Oryzias latipes: one gene and its partners. The protein of the gene in region 1 interacts with the protein of each later gene in a pairwise test. Links are inferred from orthologs where the notes say so. Each region holds a gene or a part of one and is shown on either strand. Other genes may lie near its edges. The genes, in order: ube2w, amfr, march5, rnf5 and rnf111.

Region 1 (3,425 bases):
TATGGCAAAGAGTTTCCTCATTCCAGCTGCTTCTACTCACTGTTTACATTATGGTTTATGCTGCTAAAAATAAGAGCTTTTCTTTGTTTTGTACGATTGATTCGATATGGGAAGACTGTACTTTTAGCCTTCTTACGTTATTACTGATTTGTAAACAGGTAATCAATGTCCATATAATCCAGATTATAGCACCAGAGAAAGAGCTGAGATTGGGGTTAAGATGTATAATCCTTCACTCACAGAGAGCAAAATACAAGGCAGATAGGAACATCTAAAATTACAAATTATTTCCAGGTAAAATAAAAAAATGATTTAAAAAAACAAGAACAGCTTTATTTATAAGCAAACATAACACAAAACTAAAGATTGATTAATCCAAAAACCTAAAAGCTATTCAAAAACTAGCAATCTATGAACAAAATTAGCCAATACGTCTAGAAATCGAAAGATGTCGAGAAATTTCAGGATGGTGGTGAGTGAAGATTTTGAAGTGTTTAACTTTAAGCTTTGGCAGCAAATGAGAAGTGTGAACATCTATAGAAGTAAACTACGTCAAAGAAATCCTTTCATTAGAGTCTAACATCAGGTGGTTCTAAAACAGAAAATCAATAGATCAGGTCAGTTTTATAAGGCAACATATTTATGAGCATGTTGGGGAGAATCCCAGAAAGTAAGGGACATTTTCTCTGATTATGTTGATGCAACCGAACACAAACACAGAACGCCATCGAACAGTATTGACCTGTCCGACCTTTGACAGTCTGGCCTTACAGTAAATAGAGTTGTGTCCAAGCAGCTCAGTTGGGTTTTAGTTCGGAATTTTGGATTTTTAGATGGTCAAGAAATTGACTAGCATAACAAACAGTCGAGTGAAACTATTTGACTGAATCCAAGCTCCACTGTTTCTAAAGCACGCTCCTTTAACAAGAGAGTGTGACCAATACACCACCCATAAAGCAGCTCTGTACAGGTACTAAACAACTTTTACCTCCATTTCTCACATTGATTTGCAGAACCTTTAGTCTAAAACAGGAAAAACTTCTTATCAGCCATGGAAAAGGAGCAATTGCCTTAGTTTATCCTTATGTTATTGTCTTTTTTTGTCTGAATAGAGATCTTTCAAAGCCTCCAATAGTTCCGTCAAACGTAGACACTCAGTCTAGCTGCTAGTTCTTAAAAAGAACCTGATTTATTATTAAACCTTTCCAGCTGCACGGGACAAAGAGCTCTAGAAAGTCTCACATTCAGGGTCGTGTGGGGCCGTGCTTACCTGGGGTGAATCAAAAGGATATCGACCACTAAATTTGAAAAGTAGCTGAAACTTCTCTCCTTCATACAGAGTCCCAGGCGCTCCTTCCATATCTACAATCCACCTAAAAGACAAGCAAGAGACAAAAAACAGGATTCAATAACCCCACCAAAATAAAAGCAGCATTAACGAGACATCCAATCTGTGATGCGATTAAAAAATATGGTCAGAATGTCTTCAGACTTGCTTTCTACCCCCACTGAGGGAACAATAAAGCAATAGATAAAGGAGAGGAATGTTCAGTAGGTTTCCATAAACAACAGCAGCCTCTAAAATGGGCAGCTCACCGACAGCTGCTGGCCAAAATGTTGATCCACTAGAAGTTGTAAGATGGTTTGTTTTATGGCTAGAAGGTAGAATCAACGGTTATTAAATTAGCTGGCTTTCATGCAACAGATAGTTATGAGCACACAGGTATTTGAGTCAATTATCTGGCAATAACAAGGAAAATATACATTTTACAACTTGAATAGATAATCGACATTAGCCCAGAAAAATGTTTTAGTGCATTTCTTTAAATTCTATTAAAAAAAATTATAGAATTTTTATAGAAAAGATTTCACTCTGAACTGCATCTAAACACAAGTGGTCCCTCCTTGAATGAACAAAGAATTTATGAAGATAGACTTAAAAGAGGTTAAACATTTACTTTATTTATATGATAGAAAGAATCAAATCAGACATTTAGTCTTAGTTGCTGCAAGAAAAACATTTGGTCAGTATAGAATGACAAGTTGTTTCATAATCTTCTGGTTCTGCTTTATGACATGCAAACCAAAAAGGAGGCAAGACGGCACATACTTTAGAGAAGCTCTTTATCCTGGGTTAAATTCCATTTGTAAACAATTAAAAAACATACAGACATCAAGCACAGTTCTTTTCCTCACAAACTGCTTCTTGTATCACGTGTAAGCTATCTGATCTCCATGTGATGGAAAAAACCCAGGAGTTTGCAGCTTTCTTCACCTTCATTTAACATTTCGGGGACAACACACTCCCCTTTTATCTTTGACACTCGTTTTGTGAAAGCAGTCCCGTGTACCCAGATATGGAACATGGGACGCAGACGCCAGGATCACGGCTGAAATGTGCCGGCAGGTCACTTTCTGCAGTATCTGCTGTCCTTCAGCATCACACTGCCAGAACAATGGTGGAAAAGATTGTGGCAGTGACGCAGCAATGATAAAGTGGCCAAAATAATATGTGACCACACAAACCGGTTAACTAGTAATGCTTCATGGCTTTCATCGTTTTATCATTATTCTTTCTTTTATTGTTTAGGGATTTTATTTATATTTAATTTCTGTGTTCGGCACTTTGGCTGCTCGTTCTTTTATAAGTGCTGTGCAAGTCATAACATTTATTTAAAAAAAAACATCTCCCAACAAAAGTGATAACTATCCTACAGCTCTCTCTTAAACATAAAAACATTTGATAGATTTTAGTAGAAAAAAATAAAAGAGAAAAACCCTGAAGTTACTTTTAGTTTAGATTTTAATGCAAAAAAACATTTAAAAAAATGGTTTAAATAAAGAATCATCAAAATCCTTATCAGGTCCAAAATTACTATACAACAGAATACATTTGAATGAACTGTAATCTGTTCTCTCTATTCTTTGAATACAACAACAGAAGCAGAAAAACATCCCTTAATATAAACAACTTTTTCTAACTGACCACTTCACTTTATTAATGATAGTTTATTATTAGCATGTATTTTTAGAAGTTGCATAACATGTTATTTAAGTAATTTGCCAAAACATATCAATTTTATTTTTAAAACAACTAAACATGTTCACTCAGCATTTATAAGTATCTTTTCTGAAAATAATATAGTTTACTGTCACTAAGCAGGAAAACATGGAAAAGACAGTTTTGATTTAAACTAAAACTACTACAAAATACTTCCGCTTACAACATGTATTCAATTCATCTATTAAATACAGTGGAGTTTGTAGATATTTAAAATAGTTACTTGCTTTTGTTTTTATGAATTAAATGAATTTATTTAGATTTTGACATTTTCCTTCATCATTTTAAGAACACTAGCCTGAGACGGGGTTAATGTAATTTCTCATCATCATCCTAAGAGTCAACCACCAGAATCTGTCAATTC
Region 2 (3,515 bases), on another chromosome or scaffold:
TGGCCACCGTCATTTTCTACCTAATCCCTTCATAGTGAATAGCAGCATTCCAACCTGCGTGCATGCTGGAGCATCTCCTCTTTCCTCAGCATGAGCATCTTCTGTCTCTCGTCAGCTGACTTTGAGAAACGACCCCCTCTGGCCTCAATGTTGTCCGACTCGTTGGCGTTCTGTTCAGATGCTCCACTGGGACCTGCTTGCTCTTCATTTGTGGGTGAATGCTCTATGGCCTGAAGGGAAGAAGACACATACACAATTTTGCTGGACAAATGGAAGCCCGAAAAAAGTCACACAAAAACAGTTTAAGACAACCAAAGAAACCCATATGACAAGTCTTCTTTTGGGGAACGCTGCTGCAGAGAATGCAAAGATACTGACCTGTGTGGGGAAGGGCACCTGTATGCGTCCCTCCAGAATGTTGTCTGTTGTGACTTCCACAGAGCGAGTCAGTTGAAGGTCCTGCATTACAAGATACGAGGGCACCTGAGGAAACATCTCCTGAATCTGATGCGTCTGTTGAGAAGAAATGCACAAAGAGAAAGAAGAGAATATAAATGGAGAAGGAGGATTTAAAGAAAATACAAAGACACATCCTATTGTTATCTTTGGCTTGACCAGCTTCAGTTAAATCGCGCCAATATTTTCTAAATCTTATTAAAAGCAAGCACCAAAAGAGAATCATATTGTCTTTTCGGTCTTATACTGACTTCTTATCATCAACACAAGTTTGAACAAATACAGTAAAGAAAACAACTCATGCTTCCACTTTTTAAAAAAAAATGAATAAAACCCATAGAGGAACTGATGTTTGTTTACAAAGAAAATCAAAGACTACACTCTTCCCTTTTCTATACATTTTGTTCATGTTAAAAGGAATAGATATGAGGTCGTGAGACTTTTTTTTATTAACGTTTTAAATTTTGGGTGGATCTCTGTAGCAATATACAAAAACTCCCCGCAAGTCTTTAACAGATGACAATCTCACAATTGTGACACATTTTTGAGTTTAACTCAAAAATGGCTTGGACTTACCATGGCCATAAGCTGGGAATTGTTTGGTGGAGCCATGCCCAGAAGGTTGGTGGTGTGCATTACTTCCACTGAAAAACTGGGCAGCCAGCTCGCAATGCGAGATCCTAAAGGAGGAATGTATGACTGTTATAAGGTGCAGCAGATATTTATGATTCAATCTGTGCAGCAGACTTACCATCAAAGTGGAAGAAGTGATTGTGCTGGTTGATGTGCGGCCGAGCGTCTGGAGCAGCTCCAACTGGGCCGATATTGTCTTCCAAACCCACCCCTGGCTGCTGATTTCTCACCTGACTTCCATCGCCGCTGATATTCAGCGACGTTCGACACGTAGGACACGACGTGTCCTGCTCCAGCCACGAGCGCAAACAGGAGCTGTAAAAATAAATACATAAATCAAACAAAATAGTCCAGTGTCAAATAAAAAGTCATTTCTACCTAAGGACAACAAGGTTTATCAATCACTGCACCAAAATTGATAAATGCAGAGAACAAAAGCCTTTGTTTGGTAAATAAACACCAACAAAACTTATAAAATATGTGCATATATCATAAATAGAATGTAGGTCCATCTGGCTGAACTTATACAGAGATTACTGCTTCATTACTTATGAAAGAGATGACCGCAAGGTAGTTTGCGTGCTGTTAGCATGGCATCCCAGCAGATGGCGCAATCATCATCATTGGCCGCTAGCTCTTCAGCTGTAGCAACAGCAAATCTGGCAAAAATAACCAAAACAGAAATGTGACACACAATTACAAATCATGGCTGAAACGTAATGAGCCAGTCAAAAAAAACAAAGGCAACATTTTCCCACCTGGCCTCCATGTTGTTGATGACACGAAGGTAATTCTTGTGGCGGCGAACACGCCGCTGGACCTCATGGAAAAGGTATCGCAGCTGCATAAAGATAACCAAGCTTGCCATGGACAACCAGATGTTACCAAAAAGCTAATGGGACAAAAAAAAGATAGAAACTTAAAGTAGAAAAGGACAAACGTAGAAGAAAAAACAAAGATATACATTCAATTGAGACTGAATGGTACCAGCATGTGGATGTGGTGCATGAGGTCAAGAAACAGCATAGCCAATTCCATTATGAAGTCAGTGTAGTAGACATAAGTGCCTTTGCTCTCCCAGGTCCCTGGATGATTCAAATCCCACAGATGGATGGAGTAACTGAAAGATACGAAATATGTCAACAAGATTTTGGACTGGAGGAAATATATTTAAATGGCTGCACCATGCAAAACAATTTACTGAGCTTTTAAGTGTATTAGAATGTTCTTTCCTCAGGAAAAGAAAAGTCCTGCTTTTCTCAGTATTGCTCTAAAAACCTGCGCTCTGAGCATGGTATAGGCCCCTTTAAAGCAGCAATCAAATGCTAGCTAAAGCTTTTTTTGTTTAATTTTAATTAGCTACATTAGAGTATAAAACACAAAAACATTACAGTAAAACCATCCCTTAAAATGGGATAGCATTAAAAATGTCTCCATATGTCCCAAGTTCTTACTTAACGCTGTAAAAACGAAAAATTCCCCCGTTCCTGATCAGCCGACTTCATGAGGATCAGAGTTTTTGCACATTACTAAGCCCCTCCCCCAACAAGAAGGTCTTTCATGTCAGAGCTAATAAAACCAAAACAATCCCATGACAAGTCAAATCCATCATTTGCATGCTTCATGTCATCCCAACAGCTTGATGTGTTGCAAGTTTTAACATACTCACCGCATAATGACATGTCCAGTCCGCACAGTCACTAATAAACACTGAAAGAAGAGAAATGTTCTAATGATGCGGTTTGTTTTGGAAAAAATACAGAATCAATGAACAAACCTTAGCAAAAACTCCAAGTAGACTCATTTCTGTTACGTTTTCCAAGTCTTTTTTAAAATAATATTACTTTTAAAAAGGTACTTCAACCATAAATATGATGGCAAAAATTACTCAGATGCCTAAAATGTTTATAAGTTAGAATGGAAAAATAAACCAATGCATCATAATATTCAACATAGATGGACGTTCTTGTTTTTATACAATGACATTCCCACCAAAGGTAAACAGAACTCTGCATAATTATTAAAAACAGTTCAAAATATGATACAAAACTAACCTGTGATGAATGTTTAATAAACTGAGCATGTCAGCTGATTATCTAATAGAGTATTTTATGTTTTTTGAAACAAAAGTGTGGTAAAGAAGCCACAGTTACACATGAATGCTGCATTCATTGACTGATTTTGAGTTTTTAAATGCATCCCATTCTTTTTAAATATTGTGATGCACGCCATTTCTGTTGAGGATAAACCTCCATTGTTTACCTCAACTGTAAGCAAATATGAGCAGCCACTGTGGGCATCTCTAATCCTTTTTTTTTTTTTTTTTTTTAGGTTTTCTTGCTCAATGTGCATGAAAGCTCAGAAGAAGCCTGTGACGTGACTGCTTACTTTATCACATATTTCCAAAACGCACCATTATAATATTC
Region 3 (4,192 bases), on another chromosome or scaffold:
ATTGCGTAAAATGAGACAGGACCGCATTCCCACTGATCCCATTTCCCCTCGTGGAACAGAGTGTCCCTCGCCATTTCAACCGATATAAACCTAAGGATCACAATATAGTGCCACTAGAAAAGTCTTTATTCTCTATAAACACAGAAAAAGGACTTAGTTTGCAGCATAAATGTGCTCCTTGTGCGTTGCTTCGGCTCAACGCCTTGCGTAAATCCAGCGCACATTCTGCAAATATGCCGCAAGTTAGGTTAGATTTACAGACTGAATAAAAAAACAACAACATTTCTAGCTGTTGAGAATAAGAAATACTCAAAGCACACAGTAACATGTGTCATTTGAACTAGTTTTAGAGGCACAACAATAAATCAAACTCTGCCTGGCCAATGATCAGCAAAGATTTGACGACAATTTAAAGCTGTGGTGACACTGAAACAAGCATCGTTTTCAGGCCTTTTAATAGCACGGATGTTTTCAATCAATACTCCACGTGTGTCAGATCATTTTAACAACATAATCGAAATAAAAAAACAACCAGCAGGACTTTCAATGAAACACTCGCTGCACTCAGCCCACCGGGGAATTCGGTGTTTTCTCCTCCAAGAGAAACGCTTCCAAGGTCATGGACGCGGGAGACTGAGCTGCCTGGGGGGGCTCCCCTCTCTGGCCTTTTCATCACACACCCTGACCAAAACAGCTGACACTTGAAGCAGCTAGTGTGGTCGAGACATCCCCGTTTACATGACACGATGTTGCCGTGAAATCCCTCTTTGATATGTCCTGTAAACGTCAGAACAGCATGCACGCGCGGTGACGTCGCCCCTCCGTTAAACTGCCATTACCTTTATCGTTCACCTTTCTGAGACTGTGAATAAAGCTACTTCTCCACGCCTCGTCGGGCTTTGGATTTCACAAACGAGCTGCCCTGGTGGTGCCGAAGTAGTCAGCAGTTGCCTCAACAGCTGATTGACTGCAGCGCATGGATAATACCGAGGTGGCTGATGGGACTTGTAGTTGAACGGGACTTGTAATGACAGCACCAGTTATTCAAAAAGGTATTTAATGTTTTAAAATTGGTGTAAGGCTTGTATTTAAAGTCTGAATTAATTTATGAAATAAGACGTGAAATTTCTTGTGAAAAAACGTCAGGTAGGAATTATGTGGTCTCCGTTCTTGCGTAACGGAGATCCGGACGCAATTATTGAAAGAATTCTTATTTTTGTCTTCATATCCTGGCGTATATAGCAGAAAACCTCTAAAAATGTAAACATAAATATTTTTAAACTAATATGTTTGCTAAAAATCGTAGTAAACAAACTTATGTCTTTATTTTTAAAATTTTCCAGCTAACTTCCGTTTTGGGCTTATGTTGATGACGTCAGACACACGGTACCTTACGTTACCTCAGAGACGGCCAGTCAATGGAGTCAAACGGTCACGCAAACGAGGCCGTAACAGGTTTAAAAAGGATTTCTACCCGGAATAGCACATAGTCCGTAGATCGTTGCTATTCGGATAGACATGACTATTAGGCCGTAGATAATATTGTTGTTGGACTGCGGCTGACGCGGGAAACCAACGCACGAGCCCGTGCGGCTAACCAAGCTAGCTAACCGAGTCATCAGGGGCTGGATTTCGAGTAAATGTATGTTTACTGCAGTTAAATATTGACAGCAATAGGGAGAATTTCGACCCCACATCCCCACTACAATGGCGGAAGAGGCTGCAGTGGTCGCGCAGCAGAACCTGGACAGGTGAGTTCCAGCAACAACACGCTGCCCCCCCCCCCCCCCCCCGCGTATGTATACTGATGCTATCTGAAATAATAGCTCATTGCTATGAACGCACATTTCTGTGTCTCGTACTGTATAAACACTTAACAGAATCCAAATAAAGACCTCTCTCATTAACCAAACATTATACAGTACTACTATAGTATTAAAACATGATAATTGAGTTTTGGTACTTGTTCAGGAGGAAAATGCTTTCAGTTCTGAAGTGATTCATTGTTTGTAAGTTTATGCATATTTGTGAGTCCCTATGAGGATCTTTTGATTTATTGTAAAAGTCTTCCCAATGACCTTTTGAATTAGGATTTTCCAGTTTTTAGCCAAAATGATCAAACCTGTGTTGTTTTTATAGGACATAGTTTCTGCAGAGCAGCAGGAGTTCATCAGTAATTTGCCTCAGAGTGAGCACGACTTTTGGCGTGGAGCAAGCCGCTCCCCTTCCCGTCACCCAATATCTGAGCTCTCTATTTACACCCTCCCCCGCTAGCGTTCACCAGCATTACAACCCCAACCTAACATCAGCAGTGCAGCAGAAATGACGAGCAATGTCAGATCTATCCAGGCGTCCAGTTCTGATCCAGATTCCAGCTAAGACCAGGAAAACAAAGACCTTCATGAATCTATTTGTCTGCAGGTGGATGATCAGAATGGAGCAGAGCAGGAAGCTTAAATCCTGCCCAGCAGATTCTCTACATCACAAACAAGCTCCTTTTCCAACTGCATATTTTTGTCTGCTCCTGATTTATAATGATTTAAATAAAGAAAACCTCAGAAATGCGTTTTTAAGCTTATCAGAAAAATACCACAAGAACATGTTAAAAATGACATTTTCATCAGACTGGGTCTTTAAACGTTTGTCAAATTAGCTGTGTCATTAGCAAAGAGCGGCTGTTGCCCCCAGGTGTACCTGAGGACACAAGCTGCTCTACTAAGAGAGGTTAGTGGGCGTCTGCCCCAAGAACCTGTGTTAACAGCGTGACATCTGGAAATGCCCGGTCCATTTGTGTTGTTTTTCAACCGGTGTGGCATGGCCCACTAGTGTGCCGTGGGAGATTGTCCTCATTCACTGATCTAAAAACATTTCCCATCTCCAGGATTTCAGCTCTGTGTTCATCCAAACAGGTCCTGATAAAACACTGAGTAGTTAGGAATATGAAAGATCGTAAAATACTTTTTCTTTGTGTTCATTTGATTCTATAAAAGACATTTTGATAAGAATGACGGTACCGCGATTTAGCCGCTGCAGCTCTGTTTTATGAAAAGTCCCGCCCCTTTAACTGTCTCCACCAATCATTCTTGGAGGCTTAATCACACGTCATCAGTCTGACCAATCAGAAGTGGTTAAATTCTTCACTTCCTTCTTCAGATTCTGTTCATAAAGTCTCTCAGTTCTAACAAAAATACCAGCTAAAGCTCGTCTTTAGCGGTGTAGCTTTCCACAGAATCCGGTGTCAGACCGTGGAACAAGTGAACAAAACCATGAAGCTCAGAGATGCGAGTCTCTCTGCCCTCGGCGGCAGTTTCACACTACATCTCCCATGATGCATTGGGTTAAAGTGACAGCTCCTCAGCGCACAATGTGAACAGGCTGCCAGTTCACACCTACGGTCCCTCTGACCATCACCAGGACGTTCATGCACATTTATACTCCAGTGGAGCCGCACTGGAGCTACTGCCTGAGCCACTGCCGCCCCATTTCACGAAGCAGTCTTTCCATCAAATCCCTCTTTTAGTGACCCAGTGAACACCAGAACTCTTTGTAAGGCTGTAGGTATTCTAGGTTCTTATTTTCTTAATCTTGGTTGCATCGTTTTTTTGACCTGACTTAAAGGCCACTGGGCGGTCAATGGTGTCAAAAAGTTAGGGACTTGGATATCAATTTATTGAATAGAAATTCTTCTTTTGATAGTCAATAGTATTGATGTAAATCAGTTGGGGCCTGAAAGCGCTCTTCAAACTAGATAACCAGCCGTGCCATGATGTAGAGTGAGTTGAATGTCATGTAGCACCTACGTCTAACCACACACCGATGACGCTCCCCAAGCATTTCTGTGCACAGACAGGACCCCGAGGCCCACAGCACTGACAGAATCTGATAAAGGCTTATACAAGTCATTTCTGGTTGCACATTCTGTCAATATTGAGCTTTGAAATAATCTTTTAAGCATTAAAAGAAAATGCATGTGCCTCAGCTGCGTATTGCAGGTGTGGGGCAGAGCTCCCCTTTGTGTACAGGAAGCTGATAGTAGTGAGGTGTACGCCACGTACACAGTTGTGTACCCAGACTATCGGTGGCAAACAGACGGCTCTTATCTGGGCTGGCTACCAGCTGCCACTGCAATGCAGTGTTTCACAAATGTGTGAGGGAGACATTTGATCCAGTCTGAACTCTAACTTACACAACG
Region 4 (4,070 bases), on another chromosome or scaffold:
CTGAAGTTGTATTTGTAGAAGCTAATCGTTTTCTTGGCTTGTTTCTGTCGTTTGATCTTCATGTTCCGCCTTGAATAAAAAAAGAAATTAGCGAAAGCAAAAACAAAGCTTTAAACTTAAATTAATGTCTTCTTTCTGCAGTCAAAAAGGGTCAAAATAAGATCCTAAATCAGCGTGGAGCTGTACTCAAACGGTTTTGTGCGTAGGCCTAATAGCTCCGGAACGAAACAAAGATGTCTGCTTAAAGTTCCGGTTTTGAAACGGGGATGTTCATAAATGAGTCAATTAAAAAAATAATGTTTTAAATAAAAGACACTGTTTTTCTTTCTTTTAATCTTTAAATCTTTTTAATGTTTGGTTTTCAGATTTAACGGGTTCTGTCAGTTTAAAAAAATGCCTATCCCGGTTAATTTAATACAGTAAATGCAGTTATACATTTAATGTATTGAAGAAGGAAAAAAACGGTTGGGATATATAGTTATAATTTAACTTGAATAACAGAATTTTGAAATGTTAGTTTTTTGAAATTTTTTAGAAACAATTGTTTGTCTTTGTTTGTTATTTACATCCTGATTACTGACTGCCCTATTGTTTGTATTAAATTGATTCAAAAGAACACATCATTTTATGATAATTATCATTGTTGTCATTTCCGTTTGTTTTTTAAACATTTTATTAAAACAAGACACAAGACAATAAGTAAAAGAAAACACTTTAAATACTATGCAACTTGCACCACTGACAGTGAACATTATCAGTCAAGAGGTTAACAAGGTTTAATTAAACTTAATATAGAAAAAAAAACAAGACTCTTTGCTGTTTATTTAAAATCTTCTCAGTGTGCCATTAGTTATTACTGTTGTTGTCAGGTATTTGTGTGTGTATGAGTGTGTGTGTGTGTGTGTGTGTGTGTGTGTGTGCGCGCGTGTTTATGTGTGTATAAGTTTGACACATCACAATATTTGTTTTGTTTTGCCTTTCTTGAATTTATGAATAAGGGTTATTTAAAATAAAACACTACCGGATGTAACCTTAAACATTGGCCTTGCTTCATAGAATAGAAGAGAATAGAACTTTATTGATCCGGTAAAAAGTAATTTATTTTGATACCATAGTGCAATTGAAACCCGCAGATAGATGATAAACATTGAAAATACACTTAAAAAGTAAATAACCACGATAATCATTGTACAGTCTCCATGAGGCGTTTGTATTTACATTTTTAGCCCCGCCCCCCGACTCTTACAGCATTATTTTGACCGGAAACGGAAGTGGTTTCTCAGACAGCAGCAGCAGCCACAACTCAGTCCAAAGTGAAGACTGTACCATCAGTGTCGGACTCGGCTAACGCTAGTACCAGTCGGGCACGAGTGGCTTGGGTTGACTCAGTTCGGATTACTTCCCTTCGCTGTTCCGATAACCGTCATGGCGGCGGCGGATCCCCGCTACTCCAGAGGAGGTTTCCCCGCGGGGGAAAGCAGCAACGACCGCGACGGGCCAGGCGGCGGCAGCGGGGAAAGCGAGCGGGACCGGGCCACCTTCGAATGCAATATTTGTTTGGACACAGCCAGGGACGCTGTCATCAGTATGTGCGGACACCTGTTCTGGTACGAAACCAAAACAGTAGTTATTAGAGTGTGTGGGGGTGTTTTTCCATGATCTTTTGATGTTATTTGCCCGCGCGCGCGCGGCCTTCTTTAACGTCAGCTGTTGACGGCGGAGTCACGCCCCTCGCTGAAAACCACAATAATAATAATATTAAAAATAAGAATAAAGTACAAACTAATATTTTACAGAGGCAGGTCATAACTGTTTTACTGCATTACACCTAAACATTTTTTACAGCATTTTTATCAGCTGTCAGTCAAAGGTGACGTATTAATCTGTGACATATTAACTCTTATTGTAAATGCTTAGTGACCATTTCTAACTTTAACATCAGTCTGTGATGAGCCAAACTTGCTTCAGCTTGTTGCTGTGATTTAATCAGCTATTCTGTTTAAATCCACTTTAATCTGAACTGGCAGCTCACCACATCTGAAAGGAACCTGCGGCCAAAGACTTTCTAGCATTTTCTCCCCCTTGTGATCCAAACTTGCGCAACCTTCAACCTTCATGTTGTCGGTTCACACAAACTCAGTGGTTTTTGTGTGACTAATCTGGGAGTCGCTGATGTGACATCAGGGTCAGCAGGTTCCTATCAGCTGTAATCGAAAGCAGCGAAGGGTTCAGTGTGGAAACAAGCACAGGCTTGGACTTTGGTGGTTTAAGGCGGTTAACACATCAGAGATTGTTTATTGTGCAAAATCCAGAAAAGAATTGATCAAGAAGGACTAAAATCTAAGTGCAGGAAAATATAATCTTTGGAATGTATTGAAGAAGCTGTAAAAAAATGCAAATGTACATTTTCCTTCAACAGTTCTTGCTCATTTGGGGGGGGTTTGCAATAGAATAAAAACAAATCATGAAAGTGATTTATTAAAAATGTTTAACATGTTCTTGTGGCATTTTTCCGATGAAAGAGGACAATTATAGAGAAAATTAAACATTTTCTGAGTATTTTGTTATTCAAATCATTGTGAATCAGGAGCAGAATTTTAAAAAATTCAGTTTGAAAAAGATCGTATTTGTGACAGAAAATAAACTGGGCGGGCCATAAGCTCACAGATTAAGTTGGGGTTGTGTGAGGGGCTGTAAGCCAGCAGGACAGCGTGTAGACAGATGCATGATGGGAAGTGGCATAACAGCACCATCATAATTAAAAGGGAACTATTCATCAATAGATCAGGTTGTAGAGCGACTCTGATTACTGTTGGTTATATTTCCTTTCATTTTCTTTGCTGGCTTTTGTGATGTCACAGCCGATCGTTATTAAAACCGCTTCTCATTTCTCTTTCTGCGCTTCCTGTACTCTGTTTGAAAAGCTGGAAAATGTATATTTGATATGGCTATGATTGTCAGAAGGAGGCGATGAAGCCAGTTTTGTCTTTAAGCTGCTGAACAGAAATAGAAAAAGTTGGTAAAACAGAGAAAATGTTAGACATTCAGGAAACTTTGAGACATTTAAAAAAATAAATCCACACATATATTTGCATTTATTGTATCCATTATATGTCTTTTAATATAGTGTCACTCTTTTTTTAGAAGTTTGTAAATATAAAAACAAGTATTGGTGTGTTTTAGAGAAAATCTGTCCAGTTGAATGAATCGGTACAAACACGCCGTTTTTTTTCTCAGACAGAGGAAGGATTTCTGTTGTAGCTTAACCAGCCGTTGATTGCTGCTACTTAATATAAACAAAAAGAAGAACAAATAAAGTCTAATTAACTTAAAACCCCCAGAGGAAAAACCGCTCCGGAGCTCTCTGGGGGTTAAATCCCGGTCCAGTACCGGATCAAGTTCTGGTGGACCAGCTGGTGCGTGTCTGTGTTTGCAGCTCCCACGGCGGCGTGCGCTGATGTAACGTCGTTGCTATGTTACCCCCCCCCCCCCCCCCCCCCCAAATCTGTACGTAACATGATGAAACTTTGAAGCAAGGAGGTCAGTTGATGACATCAGCTCACCTGCTGCAACATCTCATCAAGCTGCTTGTGGAATAGGATTCATCATCATCTTTGACTTTTAGCTATGCAGTGTCGGATTTTCCACAAACTCTCACTGAAATGTGGTGTATTTTATTGTAAAGTAATATTCTGCTTAGATTAGTTTTTCAAGCCATCTCTGAGATGATTTCATAAACTGGTGTTTGGAGCCAAAAAAAATGCGTCTGACTTCATTGCAAAGGTAATCTGAAAAACACAAAATGATGAGATAAGCAGCTTTTATTTTGAAGGCACAAAGTCCTGCGGCTTCTCAGTTCAAATAAATCAGGTTTTTATCACTTGTTGCAGGTTAAAGTTGGTATTGAAACTCAGGATTTGCTCTGTGTTGATCCTTGATCCTAAATTGACTGCGGGGACGCCGATCCCCGTTTTTTAAACCCAAGCAGTGCAGATTACTGCGCCGGAGTGCTGCTGTGGTTCTGAAAGTCCCGCCCTTCTTGTTGGTTTGCATGCTCCAAGTTCCTTCAT
Region 5 (3,515 bases), on another chromosome or scaffold:
TGGGCCTGGGGGGGCATGTGAAACGTAAGCTGGGGGTCGCGATGTGGAGCCTGGGCAGCATGGGTCAAAAGCTGAAGTGCTGCCATGGAAACTCGGACCACCGTTTCCACTGCTTCGAACGCTGCTGTTGCTCAGGTCTACTGGCAGAGTTTGCTGTGGGAGGAAAACAGATGTTAAAGAATAATAAGATTAACTAATAACATGGAGCTTCAAATGTGGTTTTTTTAACTAATTTTTTTCCATGACTAACAATTTAAGTCTGCTTTTAGTGCTCTTAACTATGAAAATAAATGGCAAAAATTTTATATTTGTGTAAAATACATAACCTTCTATAACCTTCTCGCTTGGAGGAACATAAAGCTTAATCTTTAACTAAAGAACATCCTCCATGTGTACGCACGGTACAGTAAAGCCATACCTGGTCATGGTAATGAACGGCATTGTTAGCACTGTTGCTGCCAATTCCAGCGCACGGTGCAGGGAGAGCACCGGGACGCTCCACGGGGCAGCTGGGCTCTATGAAGGGCACGGTGCCTGGGGGCTGTGGAGCAGGATGGTGCACATGGTGGTGAAAGTGATGAGCACTGTTGTGAGTGTGCTGAGAATTGCTCTGCTGAGATGAGGATGCCTGCAAACAGCTGGGATGGGCGTGGCTCAGGGACAGGTGAGCAGGGGAGGGGCCTCCTCCGCATGAGGAGTGCTGCTGACAGCAGGATGGGAGTCTGGGCATTGCCGTGCCTGTGTTGTCTCCTGCTGCTCCAGACAGACTTGCTCTACTGTCATCTGATGAAAGCAAGAAACAGTTGGTAAAAAATTTTTAAAAAACATAACACACCAACAGGTCTTACAGAAGTCTCAGACTTCAATGAGCAAAATATAAAACTAAAGCCTTACAAAAAAAAATCTAAACAAAATGTGCAGTCTTCGTTTTTGGTTTTCTTACCCTCTGCAGATGTGCGAGCAGAACCACTTGGTCTCTGCATGTGCATACTTTCAGGTAGTGAACTAGAGCAACTAGTTGAAGGGCCTGGGGCATCATTGAGCTCTGAGGTAGACGTGTGATGGGAGGACGAAGAAGATGACCTAACTGTTTGAGTGTGAATGCTCCCAGAAGTTGTTGGCACAACAGTAAGGTCTGTAAAGAACGTTTTAGAAAAACGCATTAGCAGCAATCAATGATTCTTGGTGAAGCTGCAATAATGATATTAAAAGAGAATGAATAAATAGAGGTAAAGATGAAAATAACCATTTTCAGAATGACTGCATCAAGCTCCTGTCAACTATAGGGTTTGTCAAGAACAAACCTAAAGTTGTCTGTTTGACATGAGAACACAAAGGAAAATCCACATGACAGCTTTAAACACAGAAGCTCAACTATATTGTTTTACTGATTTTAGGATCAAAATAATTTAGCTATTTGTTTTTAACGGTTATTACTACAATAATTTGCTGCTGGTCTTCTCTGGTTTGTTAGTAGACTGACTGGAAGCACTCTGCATTTAAATCTCAGTTTCAGATCATTTCGTACCTTTTTTCAAGGTTTATTTTCTTATTTTAAATGTTTAATTGTTGCAATAAAGAGTAAGAATGTGTCTTTCTTTTTTGGCAAAAAAATAGAAAGTTCTAACCACAGTTAACTTGTAATAGCACAAACATTTTTTTAAGTATATGATAGATTATTTTATCGAGTTTGGAGCATCTTTGAAGTTTTACTTGTACCATACCTTGTCAAAGGTAACTGTCTGACTAGCAAAAACGTTTCCAGCTTGTAATTTTCTAGGTGCTGCTTGGGAGCTCAATTTTCCGGCATTAAAGCCAGAGAGCCCCCATTTTGACACTTTTTCTGTAGTAGAATAATTGTAGTATCAGCCTGACAATTGTGTACTTCTATGGATATATTTTCCAGTTGACAAGTAACGACTTTGCGCACTGCACTGCGTTAGTACTCCATCTGCTTTTCATATTTACAAATTCACTTTTCTCTCCCTCTCTTTAGGCATGCAAACAGTCTTTGCTCTACATCATGGGCGGATTGGACTTATGACACGGTCAAAGTTAAAAAACAACTTGCTTTTAAAGAAATAACACTATTTTGTAAAAACAAATTTCCTTTTAGTACTTCTACAGTCAACAGTTATTTAGAGGCAAATGTTGACTTAATTTAAAGCTTTCAAATTTTTTGACAAAGGAAATCCTGTCACGGAGCAGACTAAGCCTATTGAAAGCCTGCAAAGGCAGGTTGTGGATTTTTTTCATGCTTGGCAAAGTTTTTACTATGTTCATTATTTTAAGTCCTATATTTTTATCTTATTTTTATTTTATTTTTTTCTATCTCTGGGGAGCACTTTGAGATGCTCTGTAGCATGAAAAGCGCCATATAAATAAAGTTGAATTTGAATTTGAAAAGTAATGTTTAATGTTTAAGTAATGTTTTAGGACAACGTTCTGTTTTGTTTTCCAGCATGACATGGAATGCCCTTGCTATTTTTACCCCACTTGATTCATAATTACCATCTTCATCAACAGTGAGATCCACGACCTCCCCAGCATTCTGACGCAGTGGTTGGATAACTGTGGACAGTCGGTGACGTCCTCGGGGCTCCTGCAGGCGATTCTGAGAGCAACTACTGGGCCAAATTCTGCCAAGACCCCCCAGAGATCGTGACCTGCAGATACACAAAACATGTAACTGTACCACTGGGCCAACATGAGGGTTGGTACAGATGTGTTTGTGTAAAAAGTTAATGCAGTAAATTATGAACAAATCAAGCGCACACAAAAAAAAGTATAAAAGCATTGTACTTAAGTGAGGACAGAATTTCATGCCTGCATGACATAATAAAATGACAAGACAATAAATTGCAGTAATGTTTGCTTTAGGTGGACAAAGATAAAATGAAATCCCTGGCTTCATGATGGTCCCTGCAAAGCTTTTGCCTTGATGAATTGGTTAATGTCAACTGTTTGCTTGTCATCAAAATGCTTTACATTCACTTTAGCTCTAATATTATTTTTTTTCCCCTTTTTAATGTATTTTTGACTTATATTACTGCTCTGTCTTTGGTATTTTTCTCTGCTTTTTTTTTTTTTAATTTTCTCTCTCAAAGGCTCCTATCGCTCTACTCCTTGGCCTTTGAGACTGAAGTGAGAAACAAGAGAATAGTCACATTTCCCCCAACGGTGCCGTAAAGATCAGAGAGAAGAGGAAGGAGCTCAAGGGACGAGAGGCTGTGGGAGTGTCGTAAAGCTGGATGCCATGGAGCTTTGTAGCTTTGGGATTTTACTGGTAAGCGAGAGTCCTTACAAATCTACAGCAGAGATGAGGAACAACACGTACCTGGGGAGCCAAAGCACAACCCTGCTTCTTCCCGTTTGTGATCAATTCATTTGTAATCTTGGTCTGCTGTCATTTTCACTATCGTTTTATAGATGCTGTAAAAACTGCTGGCGAGTCAAGTGACCTGGAAGCTATGAGTTGATTCTTTAAATCCCCACTTTTGTTTTTTAGTCAGTTT

Evidence for each region.
Region 2: the proteins of ube2w (region 1) and amfr interact in a two-hybrid assay, tested with the Homo sapiens proteins (2 studies listed by BioGRID and IntAct). The link is inferred for Oryzias latipes from reciprocal best matches to the Homo sapiens genes UBE2W and AMFR.
Region 3: the proteins of ube2w (region 1) and march5 interact in binary tests that used the Homo sapiens proteins (3 or more experiments, as listed by UniProt). The link is inferred for Oryzias latipes from reciprocal best matches to the Homo sapiens genes UBE2W and MARCHF5.
Region 4: the proteins of ube2w (region 1) and rnf5 interact in binary tests that used the Homo sapiens proteins (3 or more experiments, as listed by UniProt). The link is inferred for Oryzias latipes from reciprocal best matches to the Homo sapiens genes UBE2W and RNF5.
Region 5: the proteins of ube2w (region 1) and rnf111 interact in a two-hybrid assay, tested with the Homo sapiens proteins (2 studies listed by BioGRID and IntAct). The link is inferred for Oryzias latipes from reciprocal best matches to the Homo sapiens genes UBE2W and RNF111.

Annotation. Positions count from the first base shown.
Region 1 is NC_019878.2:16,091,640-16,095,064, reverse strand, and holds part of ube2w (ubiquitin-conjugating enzyme E2 W), read right to left. Parts: intron 1,374-3,425; coding exon 1,271-1,373; intron 1-1,270. UniProt on the Homo sapiens protein: Accepts ubiquitin from the E1 complex and catalyzes its covalent attachment to other proteins.
Region 2 is NC_019861.2:26,256,890-26,260,404, forward strand, and holds part of amfr (E3 ubiquitin-protein ligase AMFR), read right to left. Parts: intron 2,800-3,515; coding exon 2,759-2,799; intron 2,210-2,758; coding exon 2,077-2,209; intron 1,982-2,076; coding exon 1,848-1,981; intron 1,749-1,847; coding exon 1,638-1,748; intron 1,405-1,637; coding exon 1,208-1,404; intron 1,137-1,207; coding exon 1,033-1,136; intron 514-1,032; coding exon 379-513; intron 231-378; coding exon 55-230; intron 1-54. UniProt on the Homo sapiens protein: E3 ubiquitin-protein ligase that mediates the polyubiquitination of lysine and cysteine residues on target proteins, such as CD3D, CYP3A4, CFTR, INSIG1, SOAT2/ACAT2 and APOB for proteasomal degradation.
Region 3 is NC_019873.2:3,260,531-3,264,722, forward strand, and holds the start of march5 (E3 ubiquitin-protein ligase MARCH5), read left to right. Parts: upstream 1-1,388; 5' UTR 1,389-1,707; coding exon 1,708-1,751; intron 1,752-4,192. Other genes in the region: cpeb3 (cytoplasmic polyadenylation element-binding protein 3), read right to left, coding at 574-673. UniProt on the Homo sapiens protein: Mitochondrial E3 ubiquitin-protein ligase that plays a crucial role in the control of mitochondrial morphology by acting as a positive regulator of mitochondrial fission and as an important regulator of immune response.
Region 4 is NC_019869.2:5,392,518-5,396,587, forward strand, and holds the start of rnf5 (E3 ubiquitin-protein ligase RNF5), read left to right. Parts: upstream 1-1,270; 5' UTR 1,271-1,425; coding exon 1,426-1,607; intron 1,608-4,070. Other genes in the region: rRNA-processing protein UTP23 homolog, read right to left, coding at 1-62. UniProt on the Homo sapiens protein: Membrane-bound E3 ubiquitin-protein ligase that mediates ubiquitination of target proteins. May function together with E2 ubiquitin-conjugating enzymes UBE2D1/UBCH5A and UBE2D2/UBC4.
Region 5 is NC_019861.2:21,213,788-21,217,302, forward strand, and holds part of rnf111 (E3 ubiquitin-protein ligase Arkadia), read right to left. Parts: intron 2,667-3,515; coding exon 2,512-2,666; intron 1,136-2,511; coding exon 944-1,135; intron 784-943; coding exon 419-783; intron 154-418; coding exon 1-153. UniProt on the Homo sapiens protein: E3 ubiquitin-protein ligase. Required for mesoderm patterning during embryonic development. Acts as an enhancer of the transcriptional responses of the SMAD2/SMAD3 effectors, which are activated downstream of BMP.